Linked DNA regions of Drosophila melanogaster. The gene in region 2 interacts genetically with the main gene of each other region. Each region holds a gene or a part of one and is shown on either strand. Other genes may lie near its edges.

What was found.
Region 1: of nkd (region 2) and por, changing one enhances a phenotype caused by changing the other (phenotypic enhancement), as found in Drosophila melanogaster (one study listed by BioGRID).

The regions. Positions count from the first base shown.
Region 1 is NC_004354.4:18,377,914-18,381,665, forward strand, and holds the start of por (porcupine), read right to left. Parts: upstream 1,942-3,752; 5' UTR 1,841-1,941; coding exon 263-1,840; 3' UTR 214-262; exon of another isoform or gene 137-213; 3' UTR 1-136. Other genes in the region: CG6179 (uncharacterized protein), read left to right, coding at 2,275-3,017, 3,078-3,186, 3,249-3,320. UniProt on the Drosophila melanogaster protein: Protein-serine O-palmitoleoyltransferase that acts as a key regulator of the Wnt signaling pathway by mediating the attachment of palmitoleate, a 16-carbon monounsaturated fatty acid (C16:1(9Z)), to Wnt proteins.
Region 2 is NT_037436.4:19,043,519-19,047,270, forward strand, and holds the start of nkd (naked cuticle), read right to left. Parts: upstream 1,932-3,752; 5' UTR 850-1,931; coding exon 786-849; intron 1-785. UniProt on the Drosophila melanogaster protein: Cell autonomous antagonist of the canonical Wnt signaling pathway. May activate a second Wnt signaling pathway that controls planar cell polarity. Required for neuroblast specification.

The DNA of each region.
Region 1 (3,752 bases), on a different chromosome or scaffold from region 2:
TGGAAATTCGTTTGTTCCAGTTTCCCCCAGGAGTGCTATCCATTCAGCTGGAAGTTGAGAGGAACCCAAATTGAAGCGCGTCACAGCGTCCGTTTCACAGAATGCTTTAATATTAAGTACTCACACAGCACACAGACTACAAGATACGAATAGATAGATACAAGATACAAAAAGTACAAGCGCATATACGCTTGGGATTACAAATATAAATACGTGTAGATCAGTCATAGTGAGTATTGGCGACGGCAAGATCCTGCGGAGTCTACGAGATGAACAGGTAAAGGACGAAGGTGCCCAAACCGATGTAGTGGCTGAGATAGCCAGCCTGCTGCCAGTGCCACAGGAAGGAGTCGCCATCCTCGCCGACTTCCAGGTCATCGCCCAGCAGCACGACGCCCAGATAGGCCAGGTGGAAGATGGCCAGCGCCGTGAATGCCAGATTAGTGAGCCTCGCCAGCCAGTAGGACAGGGAGTTCAATCGCCGTTTGCTCGGGCAGTGGCTATACCGACATCGTTCCTTGCCCGGACACAGATTGGCAGTGATGCAGGCATTCAGGAGGCTGGCGAGCTGCCGCCTGAGCAGCGATTCACCCTCGGCTAGGAACGCCAGCGAGATGAGCACCAGATAGATGCGCAGATCCATGCCGTGCAGCAGGCTGGACACCAGATAGGTGGAGAGCACGACCACCAGGATGCGTCCCCTCGAGGTGGACGCGGTGGGCTTGCAGGGCGCGTAGATGTACCGTTTGAGCCACTCGTGCATGGGAATGTTCCAGCTCCGGACCAATGAGCTGATCGAGCGCGGCCACTCGATGCGCCAGGGCTGCGAGATCAACGGACCCAGCATGTCCGACTCCTTGGTGGCACCGTCCAGTCGCTGATCGGAGGCTACCAGCAGCGCCTGCGCCATCATGCCCACAAAGTAGTGGCTGCTGCGCACACTCAGTGCGTCCCAGTACATGACCAGGAAGTGCGAGCTATCCCCGAAGAAGTCACTCAGCGCCGGAGCCACGCAATTGGACACGGTCACGGCCAGCACGCAGATCACCACGTTGGGCAAGAGGCGACGCAGGCTGACCAGCCAGCTATTCCGTGGCACCAGACAGTCCATGTAGCAGCCGAAGCTCACCCAGGGCCCCAAGGCGCAGGTGGCCGGACTGTAGATGTAGCCCAGGTAGGCAAACGGACCCGGAATCCTCGCCTGCAGCTGCCCACTGGCGGTCAGGTCGAAGCCCAGCGAGATAAGCTTCATATTGACCACCATCTGGATGCCGCGCAGCTGTGGCCAGTCACTGCGCCGCCGCCAAATGAGCAGTTCGTACAGGAACTGGCTGCCCACGGTTAGAACGGCCAGAACTTGAGCTCCTCTTCGTCCCAGTCGCAATAGCTGGAGCAGCAGGTAGCCCACGGCGGCCAGCAGGAGAAGTAGGAGCAGTCGGTAGCCCACCGTGATCTGCAGTATAATCAAGCCGCAGGCGAAGTGGAACAAATGCAGCGGTGCCAGGCTGGTGAGGCGTCTGCGCTGCGAGTAGAGGAGGCACAGCAGGCGGCACAGGAGGCAGAGGAGCAGCATGGGCGCCACATACTGCATGACCTGCAGCACAGATGGCTGCACGCAGCTCTGCAGGCTCTCGAGTAGGCGCCCGGCCAGCTCCAGGACACCGTGTCCATCTACCACCAGCTCCTCCTCCACATCGTCCCCGCCGAAATAATAGTCCTCCTCGCCGTTTGGCTGCCCAAATCTGTGGTCCAAGCTGCCGGCTGTCACCACGTCGTCATCCTCCTCCTCCTCGTCCAGATCAATGTAGTCCGATTCCTCCTCGAAGTACTGGTAGTCCATCGCCGGCCGCCCAAAGCCAATACAATCCGGGGGAATCAAGGAAAAACCCGGAAATCCGAGGACTTGGAATTATTTGCAAAGAATATACCGCGCAATATACCGAAAATACCACATCGGTGGCTTCGAACTCATAGCTAGTTTATAGCTAAGCTGAAAATACCAGTAGCTTAAACAGTTTTAAAAATCAAAATAAAAAAAAATGTATTAAACTTGTAAAACTGTTTGTTTTGTACACCAAGTGATGAAAAGGTTTTGTATCAGCTTATAGCTCGTTGTTTTTATCGGCTATTGAGTTGGCAGATTTCAGCGGATTTCCATTGCGTCTCAGCTTATTTAGTGATCAAGATACGGTCACACCGTATCTAGCAGTAAATAAACTATTTTAAGCAGTTTATTCAAATTTTTCGCTGCCAAATCCAGGAAACTCTATTGAAATGACTCGCCACGCACGTAACTGCACGGCCGGAGCCGTGTACACCTACAACGAGAAGAAGCGTGACGCGGCGGAGTCCGGCTACGGCACGAATGCCCAGCGCCTGGGCAAGGATTCGGTGAAATCCTTCGACTGCTGCTCCTTGACGCTGCAACCATGTCGCAGGCCAGTGATCACCAAGGATGGCTATCTATTCGACAAGGAGGCCATCCTGCAGTACATCGTGACCAAGAAGAACGAGTACAGCCGCCGACTGAAGGAGTACGAGCGTCTGCGGCGCGCGGAGGAGGATAAACTGAGCCAGGAGGCCAACAGCAAGCAGCAGGCGCGCATGGAGCGCTTTGTTAATGCCGAGAAGCCAGCGATGACACCCGCCCACTCCTCGGCCGCTGCCAGCGAGAAGCCGTCGACCTCTTCCGCCGCTGCTGCCGCTTCATCTGAATCCTCGTCCGCATCCTCGATATCCAACATGACCAACGGGCACGAGAAGAAGCTGCCCAGCTTCTGGCTGCCCTCCGAGTGCCCCAATGCCGGGTTAGCCAAGGCCCAGAAGCCCGACGCCACCATCTACTGCCCGGTGTCGCAGAAACCGCTGCGAGTCAAGGATCTGATTGATGTGAAGTTCACGCTGCTCAAGGACGGCGACACGAAGCGCTCGCTGATTGCCAAGGAGGCGCGCTACATGTGCCCCATTACCCACGACGTGCTCAGCAACGCGGTGCCCTGCGCTGTGCTGCGTCCCACGTGAGTGCTCGCTGGGATTTCGCGTTGAAAACCCTTTTAATAGTAACCTCTTCACTACAGTGGCGATGTGGTGACCATGGAGTGCGTGGAACGGCTGATCAGAAAGGACATGATCCATCCGCTCACGGATCGCAAGCTCAAGGAGAAGGACATCATTCCCCTGCAGCGAGTAAGTACATCGCGAACTGTGCAACTATTCTGCATTGCTAAGGTTTCTCGACTATTTCACAGGGCGGCACTGGCTACGCAACGACGAACGACCACCTCCAGGCCAAGGAAAAACGGCCCATGCTCCAGGCCTAAGACGAATTTATATAGCCGCCAGCTACTTGGGAGCACTTCAATAGAAATGTAATCGTTTTAGCACTAGCTAGTTTAAACAATCAATTATTTCTCCAGATTTTAAAACAATTGTGTATCATAACTTATACAAAACTTGGGTATTTTATCTGTTCCAATTCTACCTTTTCGTTTATTGCAAGACGAAGTGCATACATACTTATTGTTAAATAGGAAAAAACAAAATAAATACACTGATACTCGTACCACACAACCAATTAACCAGTAGTCCGAATTTCTATGGAAACAGCCCCGTCAAATGAAACCACTGCCAATCTTGGGGTTAAGGTATAATATTATATTCTTTATGTATAATTGTAACGTGTAATGTAAATTGAAGAAGCTGCAGCTGGCGGAATGCGGGCAGGTGGCCGAGTACGTCGTCTAGATACGTCG
Region 2 (3,752 bases):
TCGATCTGCTTCCAAAAAAAATTCTATTTATTTTCCATGGGTCGCTTTCCTTTTGATCTGCCCTGCCGTTGTGTTTTTCTTCTTCAGCACCATGCCCGATTTTCCGTTCTATTTTTGTGTGTCGCTGCTCCGGCATTCTCCTACCCATTTTCATTTCCATTTCCAAAGACCACAAGCGAACGAACGGCTGTGTATCTTCCAGATAAAAATGCAGCCGGGCGATTGCCTACATTTTATTTTCAACTTTTAGTTGTTCGCCGTAATTATTGGAAAAGGATGTGGGAGAAGCCCTTGACTCAATGAATTCGAATACACACATACACACAAATACATACATATCTGTGTGCGGGTGAGTGAACAATTGTTTGGGAGAAGGTAATATTTTAGATCTTCGGCCCAGATAGTCGTATGTTAATGGGAATGGCCTTCGATAAGAGGCCACGGAAAAATGAATAAGGAAAACATTCTGCATGGGTTAGTGGTTTTAGTGTCAGGTAGGTGGATATAGGAATGGATCATTATTTCAATAGTAAATGCAATTATAAATCAATAATTATATATTCCTAAGCGACTTTCTTCATATTTATAAGATATCTTCCTGCGAATCCCTGACTCACTCAATATTTCAATTTAATTTACTTGACTGTGGCCAACAAATTGTTTCCCTGAATGCTATCGCCCAGCTGTCTCTCCCCACGAGAGCATTAACATCCATCTTTTCCATATCTGCTGCCAACTATCTGGAAATTCACTAAACAAGTTGAGAACGCTTGGCTTTCGCTTACCTGAGAATTGTTTGTAGCCGCCGAGAATTTTATGCTTCCACCATTTGACAATGTTACCCGCCATCGCTGCCCGGATATATGTACCTATATAGTTCTATATATAAGCGGGTTGAGGATGCAGTTACTTGGCGGTGTCTTGGATTTTTCGGTGTTTCTATTTTCCGTTTTTCGGGCGGCGGTGGTGGTGGTTGGGCTGGAAATTTACGAGTCCTGAGAGGAGGAGACCTGCAGTATAGCAGCAGCCCAAAATGTTTTACGGCCCTTGTGTGTGCGTTCTGCGCTCCCTGGCTGGCTATCCTTTTGTGTAAGGATCTAAGGACTGAGACTAATATACTCCAGGTAGGAGGCGAGAGAATCCTCCGCTTCCACTTCCACAGCCACTTCCCGTTCCACCGTGTTTATGCGCTGCCGCTGGGCGACCTTAATTTGTATCTGGTATTATTTTCGACTGTGCGGGTGGCAAGTTACCAGTCGTAGTCGCTGTCGTAAAAGTTTTTACAGCTCTGATGTGCTGCATTTTAGTTTAATTTGCGCATATTGCGCTGCTTTATTTGATCTACGTGTGTGTATCTTGCAGATACTCGTACTCGCGCTCGCACTCGTGTATATTGGTACCTTTGTGCCCGCTGCGCGCGTAATTTTAATTGTAAAACATTTTCGCCGACTCGATTTGTTTTTCGCCAGCCGTTTTGTTGTTATTTATTCAATTTTTTCTTTTTGCTTTGCGACGACGTAAATAACTTGGCGTATAAACAACAAAAAACAACAAATGCAAAAACACGATTTATTTCCAAACGATTGCGACGAGGGCGACGGCGACGTCAATTTTTCGGGGGGTGGCGTACCGGTTGTTTTTGTTATTGTTGTGGGGGCGGTTTTTCGTTTTTCGTTTTTCCTTTTTGCTTTTCACACTTGATTTTTCTCTCCGGCTAGAAAATTAAAACTTCACTGGGCGTATCTCGCGGATACATTTATTCATTTGATCAATTTCCAATTTCAACGATAACTTCACTGGGCCACAACAATCCGTTCGGTCAGTAGTTGTTTTGGTGGGCCAAACTACGCGTATCTTCTAGATCCTTTCCGCTGTATCTCCGAGTCTCAGTTCACACGTCTTTTCGAATCAACGGACGAAAACAATCTGAATGCGAGTCGTTCGAGAATCGAAACATTGCCCGTTGTTCGAAACTCATCTTCGAGCGCCGCTCTTTCTCTTTCGAACACGTTCTCTCAATTTCGAACTCGAAATTTGTAAAGGCGTGTTATCTCTTTTTCTATTCGAAAAGGGTATGATGGAACTCTGGTTCATGACAAGCAACATATATGAAATGATATAAACAAATATTTTTCTTTCTTCTTTATCTTCTAAAAAACGATTCAAATTTTACCAGTAAAAAATTAATAAAATTTATTTATTTTTATTTACATTTTTTTTTAACCACTGCAAATACCATATGTTTTGTTTCAAATTTATACATTCACATTTATGGAGTATTTTCCTTTTAATAGCTACTAAGCTAAACTATACTAAAAATTCGAGTGATATATTTTCAGTGATTTTTCCATTTATAACAGAACGTTCTTAAATATTGCATACAAAGAAGCAATTATTAGAGCAACATATTTGATTGCAGCGAATGCCACGCCTCAAATTTAGAGCTTTCTTTTGGCTTACACCTTTCAAGCTGAATTTTGACTGGTAGTTACTGCCTCCACCATCGGTTTTTGATTATACACGTGTTTGGATAATACCCGGTTTTAATTTGCCTCTATGCATAGCCGCAGCAGAAAAAAATTTGATTGTTTTTAAATTTGATCTCAACCGCTGCCCCTGCCCCAATTTTCGCCACGCAGAAGAAGCCGCCTGCTGAGCTTGAACATCAGGGCAATTACCAACCAACCAACCACCAACCAAAAAGTAACCCCAAACCCAAGCTCAAACCCGCCGATAATAACAGAGCAAGGAGAATCCTGAATTACGCCGCAGAGGCAAAAAAAAAAATATGAAGAAACACAAAGCTCTTTCTTTCTCCGGCGATCGAAAGCAAGTGGAAGGAACCCGCGGTGATCGGCTTGCCTTTAACCCACTGAGGCCCAATGTGGCAACCTGAAAAATATTAGTGTATTTATGGAGGTAAAATATAATATTTTTGCATACTTCACATTTACTTAAATACGTTAAATAATATAGTAATAACTAATATCGTGTTAAATTTCTAGAGAGCTAGTAACTGAAACATCAACTGTGTACCTAGTCGATTATAAGATATTATGAAATTTCAAGAAGAGATTAAACTAACAAAACCTCCTTATATCTTGATGTTCCATTAGGCATTATATGTTCCTAATTATATTTGAACGTTTAGGAGGACCAATATTCTTATGTAGAACTTCTAAATATGTACCGCTCTCAAGGGGTTAACTTTGCCCTCGGGGTCCGCAGGCTTTCGCACCGTAAAACGTTTTCGGCTTTCGGTATAATGGCGCTGTAATTGAAGAAGAACACGCGATCGAACGGAGGGTGAGGGGATCGAGAAGGGGCTCCGCAAAGGCGGCGGAGGGAACCTCCTTCTAACAGAATGGTTTCGGTCTGGGTCTTGTCTCTCTCTTTGTCGGACCCTCCTTTGTGGTGCCTTCGTCATACATTGATCCATCGTCTTAATTTCAGGAGGAGACGCGCCGCGCGTCTCCTGCGCTCCCTACATTTCGGATGCGGGCCCCTGATTGATGTCGGGAATCTGTCCGCCCTGTAGCCGATGATATTGATTTATGTTTACTCCGGTTTCGCATCCGAACCCCAACCCCAGCACTTTGTTCTGCCGAATTTCGCACAACATTTTGCCGCTTTGTATTTGACAAAAGTCGGCGGACAGGACAGACGGGCTGCAAATGTAATTACCCAAAAACGAGTGGAACATGTCTGGCGGCCCAGCAATCCGGTGGGCGCGGTTCCTGTTCATATGTGAC